4 linked regions of the Ovis aries genome follow. The protein of the gene in region 2 binds, or shares a complex with, the protein of the main gene of each other region. Links are inferred from orthologs where the notes say so. Each region holds a gene or a part of one and is shown on either strand. Other genes may lie near its edges.

Region 1 (4,470 bases), on a different chromosome or scaffold from region 2:
GAGCTGCCAGGAAAGGGAAACGGGGGTTGGAGGCTGGGAGTTGTAAGTAGATGGCCCCTTGCCAGCCTCACCGCGCTTGGCCCTCTGTGCTAGGGTCCTGCTTCTGCTTCTCCTACAGGTCAAGAATCAGGCGTCAGACCAGGGCTGTCAGTAGCAGGCTGGAACCCCTCCAGGCCCATCAGCTCCAGGCACCGTCCTTGCCTTGAGTGTTTTCTCAAGGGTCTCTCAGCAGCACCCACGCCACCCATTCTGGAGCCAGGGACATGGAGGCGTGGCTCAGCCAGACCAGCCAGGCACCCGGCCCTAGTGCTGGTTTTAGCTTTGTCCAGATGGCAGTCTAGATGCTGCAGGGAAGGGGGCGGCCCGCAGCTGCCCGGCACCAGCACACCATCTCATAGAGCTGAGGCCCGCTCCTGCAAGCGGAGCTGGATGCCCACCCCCCCGGAGCAGCGTCAGCTCTCTTCCCTCTCAAAGCCCCCAGTCCTGTTTGAGCGTCCACAGGGTTACCATTTTTACTTTGTTTCTATCTTGTTTCTTTCTGCTGTGATTCTGTATTTCAGATCTGATTTGGAAATATATATTATGTCACTGGGGTCAAATAAAATTTGTATTTTTCCCCCTAGTCAGGGATTCTTGGTGTGGTCCCCAGGCCTCATTCTGGTCTCTCAGCTGCCTGAGCCAGCCTTTCCTACAGCTGAGCAGGCCCCTAAGACACACAAGCTCAGGTTACACCAAGCTGGTGCAGGGAGGACCCCAGGCGGCCCTTTCGCCAACTCAGACCTGAGCACAAACCTGCAGGGCTCAGGAGCCACACAGGGCAGAGCCCACCCTCCTGGTCAGACAGACCCGCTCTGCCCTACAGAATGGCATCTCCAGCATCCAGAAACTCTCACTCCTGGCAGTTCAAGTGCCCTCTCACTAGTGGACCAGCAACCCCAGGACACATTAAAGATAATGCTTGTCCCAAGCCCTGAGAACACAGTCCCCAGCTCAGAAGAGCCTTATTCATTAAAGTCGGTACCAAAAACAACAGAATGTTTCAGATTATAAAAAGAGTTTTTGTTTGGGTTCAGATATACGTGGAAGGCACAGCCTCCTTGTCCCCGCTCTCAAAAGCAGCCCAGTTATTCAGGAGGGAGCCCCCGGCTGGCCTGCATAGGCATCATTTTCCCGATGAGTACAGCGGAAGTCCTTTCCAACTTAGGAGTCAAGATGCGCTGGCAGGTTTCTTCAACTGGATCGTGGCTGGGAGTCAACTCAATTAGAAAAGTTTCTTTAACGAAGCAGTCTGGAAAGAATCGCTCCAACACGGCTATTCTGAGCACGCCTCCGCAGATCCTCCGCGGTGCTCCCGGTTCTCAGCTCGGCGCACGCATCTGCAGGCCGACGGCGCGGGTCCTTGTGGCGGCAGCTGCGGGTCGGTCCTTGGCGTCCGTCGTTGCTCGGGTCTCTGGCTCAGAGGGGCGCAGCGGCACCCCTCCGGCGGGCGGCCCGCACCAAGCACTGCTGGAGAACGGGGTAGAGGCGCTGGCAGCCCTCGAGCCCCAGGCGCACGGCCTCCGCCCAGCTCTCGGTCGGGCCGCCCTCCCCGCTGCCCAGCAGCCCAGCCACCTGGTTGAGCACCGGCATGAGCGCCACGGTGAGGCCGGCGGCGGCGCGCTCCTCCTCCAGCAGCGTGGGGTCCAGCAGCCAGGCGGGCGCGGGCGCCGGCGCGCGGCTCAGGCCGCAGCCCACCACCAGGTCGTACATCTCGACGCCCGCGTCGGCCAGGGCGAGCGCGGCGGCTGTGAGCGCGGCGGCCAGCGCCGAGCCGCCGTCCTCCAGCAGCAGCGCCGACACCTCCAGCTGCGCGCGCGGGTAGCGGCCCAGGCGCACGGCCGGCTCGAGCGCCTCCTGCAGCGCCAGCGCCAGCTCGCGCTCCTCGCCGCCGCCCGGTGGGGCGCGGCGCCGGCGGCCCGAGAAGGGCGCGCGGCGGAAGTCGCAGAGCAGGCGGCCGCGCAGCGCCGCGGGGGCCTCGCCGCCCGCCCCGGCCGGGCCGCCGCCGCGCTCACCGCCCTCGGCCGGGCGCGGGCCCGACACGGCGCACAGCACCTTGGTGCCGCCCGCCTCCAGGTAGGCCGAGCCCTTGGCCTGGCTCAGCAGCCCGGCGCGCGCGTACACCGGCCGCAGCCGTGCCGGGTCGCGAGGGGCCGGCGCCTCGCCCTCGTCGGCCGCGTACAGCTGCGGCGGCTGCGACTCCTCGGGCCCGCGGATGCGGCGGTGGTCCCCGGGCATGGCGGCGCTGCTGCCGGCCGGCTCCGCGGGTCAGCGGGGCCCCGCGCGCCGGCGCTTCCGCCCGCCTGCCCGGCCGCGCGAGGGTGCGCGGGAGAGCGGCTGGCGCCACACCGCCCCCTGCCGCCCCGGAGGGGGACGGTGCGCGTCGCGGAGCCCCGGGCCACCGCGAGGACGGCCAGAGCTGGGTGCATGGGTGGATCAGACGGGCCTGCAGAAGTGGGGTCTAGACCGGCCCCGCTGACCTCTAGCCTTCACGCCAGCGCAAGCCCAGCGCGTGGGTCTTCTTCCTCTCACTTGTGAAGCTGTAATCGGTCCTACACTAGTGACACAACCGTATACATGTTCCCCCGCCGCCTTGTCCAAGAGGGCCCTTTGGTACTGCGCCCTGGCTGGCACAGCTTGTGGAGTGCTTTTGGAACTCGCTCCCGCGCTGCGGACTGTGTGAGCTTTGTATCCCTCACACTCCTCACCTGGCTTGCTTTTTTGCAGCCAGGGCCTCAGCACCCTTCCTGTTTCTCCTCTTCTTCACCCCCAGGCCTTGTGACTGGTGGTCTCTGCTTCTTCTCTCAGCACAAACCTGCTTTTCTGCTCCCTCCAAGTCAGCAGGGCTGAGAATGATTCAGGGCCAGCCTGCTGTACCCAGGGGACTTGAAGTCAGCCAGAGAGGGCACAACTAAATACTACACACTACAGCTCCCACACCCAGCTGTCTTCAGGCTGGGGTAAATGGACAGAACCAGGTCAGTCTCCATCTTCACCGTCCAAGTTAGGTCCTGAAACCTGGAATGACCTGGCAGTCAAGGGTGTTGGGAGGAGGCAACTGATGTTCCCTAAAAACCTCCTATACCAAGGAATGTCTCTGACCTCACATCCAACCTGTACATCAGGAGAGGAAAAGACATAGGAGACTTATCAACGAGAATGTTCTTCTGTAAAAAGCACCAAAAACGAAGACGCTCTCCGCTGCCAGCAACCCCAGGGACCATCTTCATCACCCTATTCTGTGAGCCATCCCCATAGATGTTTTGACGCAAATCCAGGCACCATTATTCTCAAAGTTCAGGGGTCTGGGGCTGGACTCAGCAAGGGCCGCAACCAGAAACCAGTTGGAACCACAGCCACTAGTCTACAGACACCCAGGGAAGCACAAGTTATCACAGGAGGGAGGGTGAGAAGGGAGGAGGAGTAAAAGAATCACGTGGCGGTATCCTGTCAAGTATTGCACATGGCCTTTTTATTCTCTGCAGCAGAAAATGATTCTTCCCTTGAGGCCCATAGCACTGAGTCTGCAAAGAACTCTCTACAGACACAAGTGTGATGATGAAAAAGCAATCCTGGGGTAGTAGTTCTAGGTGGACGGCACGGATGTGCTCAGGGCAGAAATGTAACATGGGCGTTGAGTCACAGGCTGGCTCTCAGGTGAAGTTCCGGTTACTGCTGGGTTAGGACAGATGGGACTGTTTAAAGGTCTCAAGATTCAAACGTCCTTGTGGTGGAAGGAGAGCTGGCTGGATGGGTGTGCCTGGGTCGGGGAGCGGGGGAGATGCCTCCTGGCGCACCTGCCCTTCCCTCTCAGTTCTTCACGTCTCCCAGGCGCAGCTGGGCAAAGGAGGTGGCCAGCTGCAGCGCCTCCTGCAGGCAGCCCACGTTCTTGCCCGTGGCCTGAGCAGACACGTCTTTGCCACCGCCTTTGCCATCCATCAGGCCTGACACCTGCTGCACCCACTCACTGGCCTTCAGGCCCCGGTTGGCTGCATTCTAGAAGACAGGAAGGCAGAGCGGGAGTCAGGACTGAGAACGGGATTAAGGCAGACAAGGAGAGGGCTGGAGCCAGACACCCAATCCTGCCCCGAGGGATGCCGCCAGGGCTGAGATCATACAGCTGGTACCACAGCCAGGGCGATGCATACGGAGCAGCAGAGCCAGCAGGGTTAAACGTATGCACCGGGGGGGAGGGCCTGAGGCTGAGGGCACTAGGGAGGTGACAGGTGGGCAACAGAATGGCATCTCCAGCAGGCTGCACGCACGCATGCACACACACATGCACACACACACGCATACACGCACGCAGGCACACACACACAGAGACACACACACACACATGTAAAACGTATGCACCAGGGGGGAGGGCCTGAGGCTGAGGGGCACTAGGGAGGTGACAGGTGGGCAACAGACTGGCATCTCCAGCAGGCTGCA
Region 2 (4,018 bases):
AATTTAGAAACGTGGATAGGTAAATCCTCACAAAAACCTTTAGAAAATTTTACCAAAACGGAACACTAGCATGTAAGTAGGAATATTCCCTTTTATTAAAGTTGCTTACCATTTTTTAAAGCTGCTAACAGAGCAAAGGTACAAGCATCCAAAATGTTTCCATCGTGGTTGAGGCAAATGAGATCACAGTACAAAACCCAAGCAAGCTAAAACAGAGTTGACAAAGAAAGCTTTCTGATGGGTATAAAGTGGTATTTGTTTCTACTCACAAACCACATCCTTGGTTAAACAATCAACTTTTGAGGCAAAAACTTGAGAAAAAATTCACCTTTATAAAGTAAAAAACTGAGCAAGTTGGGTAAAAGCTGGCTTCTAAAAGTTTGGTAAAAGCTGACAAGTAAACATCTCCATTTCCCCTCAAGGGAGCTACAGATGTAGGAGGAATTTCCATTCTTACTGCTAAGTTAGCAGATGAGGGAATTGCTTCTGAAAAGCCCAAATGAGACTCAAGATGTATTTTACCAAAGAAACCTTAATACATGAAATTTTTAGGTCTTACACTGCTTAATAAATCAATATAATCAAACATGAAAAGCCTCTAGGTACTTGTCAGTGTAGTTCAAAGTTTTCAAACAGACTTGAAATTTATAATGTGGATTCACCTTAAACACATTAGCTGATCAGATACTAACTTTCTGCTGGAAAAAAATTTTAAATGACTGCATTATTAGTTGCAAAAAGATTACATAAGCTTAAAAGAAGATATAATCAAAATTTACTGGGTTTTTTTGGTGAACTACAGTTTATCTAGATAGTTACAGAGTAGGAGTGATTTTTTTTTTTCAACTCCATCTAGAAACAAGATATCTGTATTTAAGCCTAGTGTGTTTTTTAAATTTTCCCCACCCCAAAAAACACTTCAGAATTAATAAAAACTCACAGCTTCTTTACTCCCTCTTACCTTTCCTGAAGAGATGCATAAATCTTCTTTCTGAATTATCTGTGAACTTGATTTAAAGACAGAGCACAGTAAACAAATGTTCAAAAACTCTAAAATGAATGACAGTCAGACTTCATCATGATACTCTTACTTCTCAATGACATCTGCGATGAACTGGCTGGCCACCTGGGCCTCTTCTCCAGGAGGGCCAGACCGAAATCTCCACGAACACAGAGGTGACAGGTCCACGTTAGGAACTGAAAGAAACACTGCAGCTGTGAACCAGATTTCACCTTTGGCTTAGTTTTAAAGGCGTTATCCACTACAAAGGCAAGTGGAAAGCATTATATAACACATCAATTACATTCTTTTCCATTTTTCGTGAAAATCTTAGGCTTAGATAAAAATTTATATTTTCTGACTTTCTCTGCACAAAAATAATACAGCACTACACAGCACCCCAAGCATTTAAGACTTCCTTCAATTGTAAATTATTCACAAAAGTTTTTAGGTTTCTTTCAAAGTACCCCAATCTGTAACAGTATATAGCCTCACTAATCATACCAGCTGTTCTGCATTTTTAAAATGCTGGTTCCCACTGTAAAGAAAGGATGGTCCAAATTAAGAAAAAGAAAATCATAGTGGTATAAAGGAAGTGTTTATGGAAATAGAAGTTTGCAATTACAGCCCTTTGCCTAAGAGTCAAAGGCTGATGGTTGATGACACCTGTATAAACTGGTCAAAGAAGTATGACAAAGGTATTTAAAAAATTCTGTACCTTGCTGTTATACTATCTTCTTTTAACAATTTTAATATTTAACAGGATTATTTAACTTAATTTACACTATCTTCTAACATACATCAAACTTTTCAGGACTGTCTGAAGCTTCTGAATAATTTTCAATTCACCCACTAAGATTTAACTATAATATTATTTATTAAAAAATTACAAAACCGTTTAACTTACCAACATATCCTTTATCAGGGGCATCTGTTGGTGGTGCTCCAAATTCCTAGAAGCATACAAACGTTTCCTATGAAAGAAGCTACTAGAGAATTGTGAAGGCAGCAATCAGTCAAGGAAGGCTCTACCAAAGACCATCTTAGCTAGTTAGCAACATGAGCATCCACTGTGCCTGGGAAGGTGGGTCAGGGGCTCTGGAGACATCAGCACCACTCGCACTAGCTCTGCAAGGCAAGAAGGCAGTATGGCAAAGCTGACTAGTGCACCTCTGCAAAATGACCGGAGGTTCTTAAAAGTTCTGCCCCACCACTCTTCTCCTTACTCAGTAGCCAAGAATCTGAATTTAAACCCCAACCTCGAGACAATATTAAGCCCCTAAACTGGCAAGTCTTATGAAATGTCACCCCATTTATTGAGGAAGAATCTCAGCTTAGACTAACTCAGAGCTCAGTGTAGTCAAAGCAGAGACTTTGGAGTCAGCTTATACTCAAGTATTTGGAGAGAAAAATTTCCAGTGACTCTTCAGAGGATTCAGTGCAGTTAGTTGCTCAGTCGTGTCTGACTCTGCGACCCCACGAACTGCAGCATGCCAGGCCTCCCTGTCCATCACCAACTCCCAGAGTTTACCCAAACTGATGTCCAACAAGTTGGTGATGCCATCCAGCCATCTCATCCCCTGTCGTCCCCTTCTCCTCTTCCTGCCCCTAATCCCTCCCAGCATCACGGTCTTTTCCAATAAGTCAACTCTTCACTTGAGGTGGCCAAAGTATTGGGAGTTTCAGCTTCAGCATCAGTCCTTCCAGTGAATACCCAGGACTAATCTCCTTTAGGATGGACTGGGTGGATCTCCTTGCAGTCCAAGGGACTCTCAAGAGTCTTCTCCAACACCACAGTTCAAAAGCATCAGTTCTTCAGCTCTCAGCTTTCTTCACAGTCTAACTCACATCCATACGTGACCACTGGAAAAACCATAGCTTTGACTAGACAGACCTTTGTTGGCAAAGTAATGTCTCTGCTTTTTTAATATGCTATTTAGGTTTGTCATAACTTTCCTTCCAAGGAGTAAGTGTCTTCTAATTTCATGGCTGCAATCACCATCTGCAGTGATTTTGGAGACCCAAAAAATTAAGTCTGACACTGTTTCTACTGTTTCCCCATCTAGTTCCCATGAAGTGATGGGGCCAGATGCCATGATCTTTGTTTTCTGAATGTTGAGCTTTAAGCCAACTTTTTCACTCTCCTCTTTCACTTTCATCAAGAGGCTTTTAGTTCCTCTCCACTTTCTGCCGTAAGGGGGGTGTCATCTGCATATCTGAGGTTATTGATATTTCTCCTGGCAATCATGATTCCAGCTTGTGCTGCTTCTAGCCCAGCGTTTCTCATGATTAAACTGGGCAATTCTGAAAGTACCCAACATAAGGTGCTAGAAACAGCAAGTACTCAGTAAACGGTAGCTATTACTCCCTCAAACTTTTGAGCAATTTTCTACACATTTGCACAGATTAAATGCCATCACTGGATAAAAATATGTCACCAAAAATACCTTAAAATTTCTCAAATTACAGCCAAATTCTTTAAAAATTAAAGGCAGTGAGGATTTTTTAAAAAATTGTTTCAGCAGATTTGCAAATGTTCACAAATTATAATTAAGTCATTAAACTTGGGTTGTATTATCTAAAACTCAAAGGTTAAAACTTGGGAAATGAAAACAAATACTAAAACACCTGACTGCCCAATCAACAGTAGAATTATAGATGTATATTATAATCTACTAAGTATATGAAGCTAACTTAGTAACTCAAATCTTGGTAGTAAGTATATTAAACCTACCGCTTTAATTCCACAAATTACTGTAGTATTTCCAAGCTTCACTAAAGAAGAACCATCTGCGGTACCAATCGAACCTGAAAAGTATTTTTTTAAAATGAAAATGTTTTCTTCTTTTATGTATGATTTTTATCTCTAAATATCTAAGATGTCCGTGAAAATTTACTCCTTGCTTGAGTCTTGGTAAAATTATAGTTGACCCTTAAACAACATGGGCTTGAACTATACAGGTCCACTTATACAAAGATTATTTTCAATACATACTTCCACAGTACTACGTGATCCAC
Region 3 (5,305 bases), on a different chromosome or scaffold from region 2:
GCCTGCAACCAGAATCGCTACAGCAGATCATTTAAAAATACAGAGGGCTGGCATCCCTGGGTTGGGAAGATCCTCTCGAGGAGGAAATGGCAACCTGTTCTAGTATTCTTGCTGGGATAATCCTATGGGCAGAGAAGCCTGGCTGACACGACTGAGCAACTAATCAATAAGGACAAAGAGGGCTAGCCTTAGTTGGCATAGGTGGGTTCTGGGGCTTGGCATTTTTAACCTCACTGGAGAGTCTAGTGAGGGTTTGCAGAGGACCCTGCTCCAGGGTCCTGGGCTTTGGGGTTTTAGAACATACAAGGGGCTCAGTATTTCTTTCTTTTTTAGAACACACAAGGGGCTCAGTATTTCTTAAATTCTAAGAACCTCCAGGCACCTGCACTGAGCAAGAGATCTAAGCCTGGAGAGGTCCCTGGCAGAGGCTTTTTTGTTCTGGGGCTGGCGAGGAAGAGCTGCTATACAACTGAGGGGCTCTCTTGGCTCCAGGAGAATGGACCCTGGAGGAGGAAATTGTCCAAGCAGAAATAGATCCACACCGGGGTCTTCCTTCCTGTTACTCCAAAGGCACTGTCTGTGCTTCACCTGGGCACAAGAGTGCCTCTCTTCTCATCTTCCTGAGGCCATGGCTCTAGCAATTCCCTCCCCTGTGGACCCCACATCCATCTAACTCCTCGCCCATCTATCTTATCCTTTTACAGCAAAGTTCCTGAAGAGCGGTCTCTGCTCACTGTCTCTTTCTTTTCCTCGACTCCACCCCTCCACCGGAACAGCTTTTTCTTTTTTACATTTTACTTATTATTTTTGGCTGTGCGTTGGGTCTTCGTTGTGATATGTAGGTTTCTTATTGCACTGGCTTCTCTTGTGGTGGAGCACAGGCTCTAGGGTGTGTGGGCTCAAGTAGCTGTGATGCAAGGCATGTGAAGCTTGCTGGACCAGGGATCGAACCTGTGTCCCCTGCACTACGAGCTCAGAATCTTAACCAGGGAAGTCCCAGAGTGACTCTTGGCTGCACCACCTACAATAGACAACCAGGTTGTCAACCCACAGGTCTAGTCCATCCTCACGATTCAGTCTCTCAGCCGGACCAAAACGGTTGGTCCTTACATTTCAGACACGTTCTCTGGGCTCCAGGTCGCTGCCCTCTCTTGGTTTTTCTCCTACCTTACTAGTTGCTCCTTCTCTATGTCTTTTCCTAGCTCCACCCAGGCTAGAAGGCAAAGGGCTAAGTTCTAAGTTCTCTTCTCCACCTATATTGATTCTCTTGTTGATTCTATCCAATCAGTAGCTTGAACTGCCAAAGGACTCCCAAATTCCAGCCTTGTATGTCCGACTGCCGAATCCACACTGCCATGGGAGAGTCTATTAGGCCTTGCAAATGTAATGTTCCCAACTGAACTCATTGTCTCCCAGCACAGCTGGTCTGGGTAAAAAACTGACCCTGTCACACCCCCAAACCAAACCAGCTGCAATTTATCAGTTTGCCTTCAGACTCTCACCACCTGTACTGCTTCCACTCTGGTCTGCACCACCCTCCTCTCCTTTCCCCCGTGCCCTTTGCCATCAACACTGCAGCCAGAAAGTCTAAAATCTATAAAAAAAATATATATTCAGAGCATGTCACAAGTCTCCATTCTCAGTCACTAGACTTTATATGAGGGGCAGGTCTCCTTATCGCCACCCCACCTCCTGTCACCGCTGCAGGCACCCCGTCCCCCTGACTGTCCCTCAAACACACCAGGCAAGTTTTGGCCTCAGGGCCCTGTGGTTCCTAATGCTTCATAAGCTTTCCTCTTGATCTGTTTAGGGTTTGCTCCCCCTGCAAAAAGCCAATTTTAGGGAAAGAAACTGCTTTAAAATTTTTTTATTTGGCTGTACTGGGTCTTCACTGCAACACGCAGGATCTTTAGTTGGGGCATGCGAACTCTTAGTTGCACCATGTGGGATCTAGTTCCCTTACCAAGGACTGAACCCAGGCCCTCTGCATTGGGAGCTCAGTCTTAGCCACTGGATCACCAGGAAAGTCCCATCTTTAAGTGTTTATTCAAAAGGTACCATCTCAGTTGATGCCTTTCCTGACCATCCTAATTAAGACTGCAACCCTCTCTGGCACACCCCAATCTACACCCTTACTGTATTTTTCTTGTTTTCTACTACATATTTTACTTATCTTTTGCCTGTCTCTCTGACTAGAATGTAAGAATGTCAAATCCGTTACCGCAGGGATTTTTAAAAAATTTATTTACTTATTCTCAGTGTCCAGAACAATACTAAGCAAAGGTACATGTTCAATGAAAGAATGAATGAAAGCAGGTTTTGTATTTGGGTTTCAGGTAATGCCCTAGAGCAGGGTCTGAAGCATTTATGGGGGTGACCCTTAGGCCTATCTCCAGAGGAACATTTCCCTCAGAGGCGTCAGGGAACTGAGTCTAGTTTCAGAGTTGTTTAGCTAGGAAAAGGGGATATTTCCCTAATAGGTAAGAACTGCTCCAATCTTAGGGATATAAGCAGAGTTGTGTATCCCAGCCAAAGGGACATTTACCCAAGAGGTGGGGCTGGGGACATCACCATCCATCTGAGAAGTAACTATTTGGATAAAAGATCTGCCACCGGGCTAGGGAGTACACCAGAAGTGGTGATCTGACAGTCCACTGGGTATTTATGCAAACAAACAGGTTTGCCTCAGCCTGGGATGTATGGACCCAGGGTGCGTGTATGGGAAACCGGAGAGGAATCCAGTCAAGGGAGACCCCGGGGTAAGAATATTTCCCCTATTCTGGAGTATTCATTCTTTAGAAGCGGTCTGCCCTCTCCCATTCTGCGTACTTTAACAATCTTCTCCTTGCTAGTCTGGAGGGAGAGATATATGTCTACCTGCGTATACAGTAGTGTCCACCCAGGCAAGAACTGCACTAGTTCAGGAGAGATTTTTACCAGCTAGCGCGATACATTGTAACCGCCCCCCGCCCCACCAAATAATACAACCTAGTAGTTCCTACCTTGCAGGAAAGAGGCAGAGCCATCAGGCCGGGACAACAAGTTCTGTTCGCAGGCAAAGTGCCGGAGGCTACAGCCGGGGCCCCTAGGGCCGGGCTCTGTCCGAGAATCAGCCCGAATCTTCGATTCAGTCTGCATTGCCCCCTCCATAGCCCCGGAGCCCACGTGCAGCCGGGGCTTGTTGCTTCCTCCCAGAAGCGCGCGCTTGCGTACGAGGTGCGTACGCTGTACGCACGCGCCGACCCGGGGGCTCCAGGAGTGGCGCCCGCACGTGGCTCGGCGTTTACTAACAATCTGGACCCTCCCACTCCCGCCTCGAAAGTCCAGGAAAGCCATTGGACAGAAGAGAAGAGTGGGCGGGCCTTGGCATGAGCTCGTCCTACCCGAGGCCCCCGGCCCTGAAACCCTGAGGCTCTGGACGGGTTGTCCTCTTCTTTGCCGGTTACAGGAATAACTAACGTGAGGCGGTCAGAGTAATTTTGGGAAGTTAGGTGGCTTTATGCACCTACATGTGTGTCCCAGAGGCTGCAGAACTAGTAGCGTATGGTTTCTTGGCAGGGTGTTGCTGGCATTTGAGTCAGGCTTATGAAGGGGCAGCCCCGGTCTCGCCGAGGAGAGGGGCGGATCTCCGAGGGATGGTCAGCCAAGATGGCGGTGGCGGCTGCGGCGGCGAGGGTTTGGAGACCAAGTCGAGGCTTGGGACGGGCGGGCCTCCCGCTCCTGCGGCTGCTTGGGGCTCGTGGGCTGGCTAGATCTGTGAGTACCTGGAGCACCTGAAAGTTTTCTCGAAAGAGGTATAGGAATGTTTATGCAGTCTTCAGAGAGAGGGGGTTCCCTTAGGTCCCTGTAGGAAGTGAAGGAAGGGCTGTGAGAGAAAGGACGAGGGCTGGGAGAACCACTTGGACAGGACATGCAAGGGAATAACTTCCACTTCCTTAGGAGAAGAAAAGCCAGGCAGCTCCTTTGTGACCCTAAGGGAGGGAGAAAACTTGGAGAGAGCGAGGTAGTTACTTAATTGCCGCCCATCCCCAGGGGAGGCCGCTTGGAGAATACGGGAGAAGGGTGTGACCTCTCCCCTCAGGAGCTGGAGAAAATTGTGTTTGTAAGGGAAAGACTTTCTTCTCAATACGGTCTACTTTCAAGGAGGAGGAGAGAGACATCAGTTGCCCTTTCAGGGACTTTTATGGTGCCCCGTGTTTCTTTGCTCCAATTCTGATTTTTAAATAAACTGCGTTAAAAAAAAAATCTTTCTGGGACTTCCCTGGTGGTCCAGTGACTGAGACTCCGCGCTTCCAATGCAGGGGGCCTGGGTTTCATCCCTGATCAGGGAACTAGGTCCCACGTGCCGGCAGTTAAAGAGTTCGTATGCTGCAGCTAAAAATCCTGCATGCCATAACTGCAAGACCCAGTGCAGCCAAATAAATAAAGATAAAATACTTATAAAAAGTCGTGGCGCCTGTGCCTCCGGTATAGAACGGTAGCCAAGGACCTTGTTGGTTTTGGTCACTCTAAGGCGGAGGTGATCAGTGAATATTTGTTGAACTAATGAGGGGAGAGGTCCTGGCAGAGCACTTACTCCATATTTCTGAGAAACAGTGGAGAAATGCCTTGTTTCTTGTCAAAAGGAGCAGACTCCTTTTAGATTGATGCTGCTAATGGCATGCTCGCACAGCAGAAATGTAGATGGGAACCACTATTTAGAGAGACAGAGGCAGGGGACTTGAGAAAAGCTGTGAACTGAGATTTTGCATATAACAGAGTAGTGGTTAAGAAGATTGGCTCGTGCTAAATCATGTGAGGCGGTGTTCTGTAATCTGCCTTTTTCTAGCTCTGTAGCTTTGGGCAAGGGACTGCTCTTCTCTGGACCTGATTTTCCTCTCTGTAAAATGCTAACAATGGTCACCTCATAGAGTTGTTGTGAAAATTAAATATGTAAAGTGCTAAGAACTGGATCTGGCATATGATGAGGGCAATTGGAGTGTTAGCCACTGTTGAAAGTGAGGTTGGAGGGATGGGACAAAAACTCACCTCGGAAATGGGGGGAGAAGAAGGGAGGTGACCTGGGAAAGGCCTGGATTGGTGAAGGCCTTGGCGGGAATTCTGTCCAGACCTTGTGGGGCTGGGTCTGACCATCTGATCCCAAACCATTAGGAAAGGAAAATGGAATTTGGGGCGAAGCTCTTGCTAGAGGGAGAAATGGGAGGAGGATGGGCTGTGAATAATGTGTGGGAAGACCTAAGAAGGGAGTTACTTGAAGCAGGTAATTTCAAAAAGGTTACTGGAGCAAGAGGGAGGTGGGAGAGTC
Region 4 (4,960 bases), on a different chromosome or scaffold from region 2:
GAGGCAATGAAGACTACCGGCCGCCCGAGAAAGCTCGGCTCCAACTGGAATCAGAGAAGAGTGATGAATAGGGCAGCTGGGAGTAAAAGCGGAAGCGGCGATAAGAACACAGACGCCAGATCTCTGAAGGTGCTCCCACTGGCACTGACCGGTCTAACAGCCGTGGTAGGATGTGAGGGGGCTTCCGCAGAGAGGCCAAGGGGTTGGTGGGTCCATTCCTATGGATGTCAATAACCAAAACCAGCCGAGTGGAATCAGGCATGTGTCCAGAACCAAGATCACTGGGGTCCGATGACCACAGGGAAGAAGGTGCATGAAACTACTGGCCAAGGGGTTTCAAAGGAGCTGGGGTGTGTTGAGTAGAAAGTGGGAAGCACCCCTGTCTGGGCCAGGAGGTGCCTGGGATATTAGAGAAGGAGCAGCCCCTTGGTTCAGGCTGCAGGGCCTGGTGGTGAGGGCTCAGTCAAGTCTGAGGTGGAAGAAGGGGGAGCCTGAAAGAGGAAGGTGCAGTGGTGGGGCAGCAGGCAGTGTCTGTCTTAGGGTCAGGACTGAGAAGACGCCAGGTGACATTATGTGTCTGTTGTACTTTTGGAGCCCAAGGGAAGTAGCAGGACAGGCCCAAAAGGCTTCTAGAGGGCAAGAGACCCTTCAGTCCCAGCCACAATCCAGAGGATGTGGGACACGGCCCCCACATGACCATAGTGAATACCCAAAGCCACCCCTCAGGACTTGTGCTCAGGACTCTGGATGTGTTGGGATGAGAATGACAGACTCCATGGTCGTGGGGCATGGCTCGTTATACCAGGCTGTGTCTCACTGCCCAGCAATCCCTTCTTGGCCCAGGCTGCTCACTTCATCCAGGGACATCCGCCTTCTTCAGGGTGCTCACCTGAAGCACCCTGATGAGCAGGGTGAGCAGCACTGAGGCTGCAAGGGGTGTGTAGTGCATGTCTTGGGGGCGGACCCTTAGTCATTGCTAGAGCCAGCACCAGGCCAGGATCCAAGGGCAAGGAAGTGCGGTGGGGAAGAGATAAAAGTACAGTGAAAGGTGCTTAGGTTTTATTCTGGGCTTGGGTGGCCCTGTGCTCAGTCCCCCAGCAAGACAGAGGCCTCTTGTACATGCTGCCGGACCACACGGTCCAGTACGGTATGTACATCCCGGGAAGCCCGGGCAGCGGCCTCTAGCACTTGCTCCAGGTGGTCCTCATGCAGTCTGGCATCCATCTCAAGCAGTGCAATCTGGCCTGAGGCTGGTAGCAAGGCCAGGGCCAGCTGGGGGCCCCCAGCTGCTTCCTCCACATGGCTGAGGTCTGCCAAAGCTGTTCCATCCACAAAGCCAGCTGAGCAGGCACACACAAAGTCCCGCATGGGTATCCCCGCGTCCAACACTGCCAGCGTGGCTGCATTCACACAAGCTGCGTAGGTCCCGCCGTCTGCCTGCAGCACCTGCAGGAACCCCCCAGTGGCATGAGTTTCAAGCTGCTGAACCCCAACTCCTCCTTTCTCTCTCCCCTCCACAGGCTGAGGGCTGCTGCCTGCTCACCTGCACATAGATGTCAATCTGGGAGCGTGGGTGCAGCTGTGTAAGGATGGCTGCCTCGAAGGTCTGACGCAGGTGCAGACCCATCTCACAGGACTTGCGGTCCCCGTGTGGCCGCCGCTTGCGCTCCCCTGTGCTGAAGGTTGCAGAACTGTACTGACAGTTCACCAGGGCCCGGTCAGGCAGGGCTCGTGCCCGGGAGCCTCTGATCTGGGGTAGGGTGGGGGAGAACACATGAGCCAGGCCCTTCCTCCCTCTACCTCCAACATCCCAACAAGCAACCACTTTACCTGCAAAACAACACAGCCCGAGGGAGGGCCATTGGGCCAGGCTCTAAGCCACCATCGTCCCTGGATCTCTCTCCTGACAGGCCTCCCTGTTTCCCCTCTTGACTCGTCCTCTCTCGACCCCATGCTTCCTTTGTATGAGAATCTGTTTACATATATCAAGTCTGATTCTACCTCCTCTGCACAATACATATACTGCTTACCTTATAAAGAGTTCCCATCACGCGTGAGATAAAAATCCTAAATCTTTTCCCTGTTTACAAAGGTCCTGGGTTCCTGCTTCCCTAGAAATCCCTCAGTCTCATTTGGAATTACCACCCTCTTCCCCATCACCAGTCTTTCTGCTCTGCAAGAGTGCCATGCTTACTTCTACCTCTCTGGCCTTAAGTCTCCAGCGCTGGAGTGGTGATAAACCCAAGCGGTTTTATTAACACTCTCTGTCTTCACGGAGTTTATGTTCCAGTGAGGAGACAAACAGTGAGAAATAAGTTAAACTGATGTCTGAGGAGGCGGGTGCGGGAAACCAGATAAGTGTGTGGATGTAAAGGAGGGAACTTGACTTGTAAAGGGTAGGTAAGGTGGTCTGGGGTGGGATGGGGTGAGGTGTCACCCAGAGGTGACGTCGGAGTGGAGCTGAGAGGTGAGGGAGCCAGTGAGAGCGGCCCTGGCGGTTTTAGGAGTAACAAAGCGGTGTAGCGAGCGCTGGAGAAAGGCAGGGACCGTCGTGCAAGACACTGTTAGGACTTTGGCCGCGGCCCCACAAGGCGGCGCGCGCCAGCCTCACCCCCGAGGCCTCTACTCAGCCAGGTAGCCCCTCACAGCCCGTAGTGGCCACCCCCGGAGGAAGCCCGGCTCGCGCGCGCCCACTCGCCTCGTGAGGCCCGTAGACCACCGCCAGCGCCTTGGTATTGCCCTGTTCGATGTAGGCCGAACCGTCGGCCTGCGCGAATACACCCATCCGCGCCTGGATCTTGCGCAGCTCCCCAGCGCGCCGCCCGTCCACTCGGTAGCCCTGGTCCGATAGGAGCTCCAGCCCAGCCATGCCGCCCGGGCGCTAGCCAGGCTTGAGCGCCCGGCAGAACTACACTTCCCGGTAGAATTGACTCCCCACTTCCGATTCCCCAGGACTACGGTTTCCGGGGCACCGACTCCGACTTCCGGTTCCGGACCCCTGCGATTCTCCCAGAGTTCCCGAGGGCACCACATCTCATTTCCGGTCCTTGCGGAACTGCGGCTGTGGGCCCGGGGAGGGACCCTTGCGGCCTTTTGGGGTACGCACTCGCGCCTGCAGGGCTGGAGGCATGCCGGACGTGGAGTCGCCGTGTCGTTTCTTCCCGGGTTGGTCATGGGGACGGCTCCCTCTACCATCCGGGCCTGCCCGCCCCGCGCCGCCGCCTCTCCCTCGGCCTCTCCACTGAGCCCCGCGCTTCCCGCGCCGCTGGCGCTCCTTTACTTCTGCTTGACGCTTGGTATCTCCCTCGAGGTTTGCGGGCGATAGCCGCCACTGCTGGTCTTAAGTTCTTCCGCGGTCATAAATGCAGGCCTTCTCCCAAGCTGAGATACACTCTCTGTTCGCAGTTGTTTTTTTTTTTTCTTTAAACCGTTTAGTTTTTACATTTGTCCGTTTAAAAAGCAGACACATTTATGTTGTACGTACACATGGTCAAATTTTTTAGTTTCAATTTTCCATGTTGCCTTGTTTCTCTGCACTCATCCCCCTATCTACTATAGCTTAAAAAATGGCTCCGTTTTTCTTCACACTCATAATTACATCCAGGTCACACACAGACACGTGTATATGCAGCTGTACATGTACAGCCATATAGTGGCCTTTGGAACTCTTATTTTTTAAAATGCGATTGTTTCATACACTTTTGCATTTAACTCAAAAATATAAAATCTGTCCAAGTAATCCTGTGGAACTCATAGTTTTTTGGTTGATACGAGTATCAAGTAATAAGTAGAATGTACCCAGCAACCACCCCATTGTGGGCAGTGGATGTGTGTCCCGGGGTTGAGTGAAGGCTGTGTGGGAGTTAGATTCTCCGTCCTTTCCCACCTGGAATAAATGTTAAAAGTTTTTTACATAATCCTTCCCTCTTCAGAGGGTTACTGCCATTCCTCTTGCATTTCGTGGCCTGATGTCAAATGCCCTGGAACAGCAGAGGGGCTCACAGGAGGGGGGATGAGATGTTTTCCTCCACAGCTGCCTCCTGTTTCCAGATACCATTTGCTTGGTGGTCAAGGTCACCATCAGGGAGCTCATTACCCTCCTCATTTGCATTATTCGGGCTTCTCTGGTGGCTCGGCTGGTAAAGAATCTACCTGCAGTGGAGGAGACCTGGGTTGGGAAGATCCCCTGGAGAAGGAAATGGCAACCCACTCCAGTCTTCTTGCTTGGAGAATCTTATGGACAGAGGAGACTGGCGGGCTATAGCCCATGGGGTTGTAAGAGTCAGACACAACTTTAGGGCATTATTCAGCCCCTCTGCAGTGCTTAGAAACCAGATCCCATGCTTCAGGTTTGAATAGGGAAGGATAAATCAGCAGGGCTGTGACACTGACTATAGGGAGGCGACATTCACTGGGGCTGAGGGCGGTGTGCACTCGGGGCTTTCCTGTCTGTGGTCATTGGTGACTGGCGATGACTGGCATTGTCGTGAAGCCTTCCTCCTTCACGTCTTTGGTGGCAGGTGGTGGCTGTTGGCCAGGGCTCAACTGAGGCTCTGAGAGAGAGCACATCTTCATGTGGCCTCTCCATCCAGCCTGGGCTTCCGCAAAGCACGGCACCAAGGTGGACTCCCAAGACAAAGTGGGTGTTTGTGGCGTTCTAAGACCTAGCCTCCAGAAGTCAGGTAGTGTCACTCTTGCCAGACTGTGGGTCAAGGCAGTCACCAAGGTCTGCCAGGCTCAAGGGGAGATGACATGGTCCTCCCTCCCCGCCCACAGGAGCAGTTCAGTGTCAAGTTGTGGGAAGAGCAAGTGGAACAGACGTGCTGTGGTGGGCTTGGGCCTAAGTCCCAGGCCCAGTGACCCCTCCAAGGTGGTCTGGAATACTGCCGCACGAGGCCTTGTCTGCGCCTGGGCCATGGCCCTGATGGCCGTCATCCTCTGTTTGGCTCAGTGCCCTCAC

The links.
Region 1: EXOSC8 (region 2) and EXOSC6 share a complex: the UniProt entries of both Homo sapiens proteins name them as parts of the RNA exosome core complex. The link is inferred for Ovis aries from reciprocal best matches to the Homo sapiens genes EXOSC8 and EXOSC6.
Region 3: EXOSC8 (region 2) and EXOSC5 share a complex: the UniProt entries of both Homo sapiens proteins name them as parts of the RNA exosome core complex. The link is inferred for Ovis aries from reciprocal best matches to the Homo sapiens genes EXOSC8 and EXOSC5.
Region 4: EXOSC8 (region 2) and EXOSC4 share a complex: the UniProt entries of both Homo sapiens proteins name them as parts of the RNA exosome core complex. The link is inferred for Ovis aries from reciprocal best matches to the Homo sapiens genes EXOSC8 and EXOSC4.

The regions. Positions count from the first base shown.
Region 1 is NC_056067.1:1,304,560-1,309,029, reverse strand, and holds EXOSC6 (exosome complex component MTR3), read right to left. Parts: upstream 2,318-4,470; 5' UTR 2,275-2,317; coding exon 1,456-2,274; 3' UTR 1,038-1,455; downstream 1-1,037. Other genes in the region: AARS1 (alanine--tRNA ligase, cytoplasmic), read right to left, coding at 4,422-4,470. UniProt on the Homo sapiens protein: Non-catalytic component of the RNA exosome complex which has 3'->5' exoribonuclease activity and participates in a multitude of cellular RNA processing and degradation events.
Region 2 is NC_056063.1:24,976,274-24,980,291, forward strand, and holds part of EXOSC8 (exosome complex component RRP43), read right to left. Parts: intron 3,809-4,018; coding exon 3,735-3,808; intron 1,954-3,734; coding exon 1,908-1,953; intron 1,198-1,907; coding exon 1,092-1,197; intron 1,008-1,091; coding exon 962-1,007; intron 207-961; coding exon 110-206; intron 1-109. UniProt on the Homo sapiens protein: Non-catalytic component of the RNA exosome complex which has 3'->5' exoribonuclease activity and participates in a multitude of cellular RNA processing and degradation events.
Region 3 is NC_056067.1:50,092,603-50,097,907, forward strand, and holds the start of EXOSC5 (exosome complex component RRP46), read right to left. Parts: upstream 3,338-5,305; 5' UTR 3,337-3,337; coding exon 3,003-3,336; intron 1-3,002. Other genes in the region: BCKDHA (2-oxoisovalerate dehydrogenase subunit alpha, mitochondrial), read left to right, coding at 3,649-3,756. UniProt on the Homo sapiens protein: Non-catalytic component of the RNA exosome complex which has 3'->5' exoribonuclease activity and participates in a multitude of cellular RNA processing and degradation events.
Region 4 is NC_056062.1:13,709,762-13,714,721, forward strand, and holds EXOSC4 (exosome complex component RRP41), read right to left. Parts: upstream 2,929-4,960; 5' UTR 2,870-2,928; coding exon 2,699-2,869; exon of another isoform or gene 1,751-2,698; coding exon 1,544-1,750; exon of another isoform or gene 1,521-1,543; intron 1,447-1,520; coding exon 1,087-1,446; 3' UTR 1,038-1,086; downstream 1-1,037. UniProt on the Homo sapiens protein: Non-catalytic component of the RNA exosome complex which has 3'->5' exoribonuclease activity and participates in a multitude of cellular RNA processing and degradation events.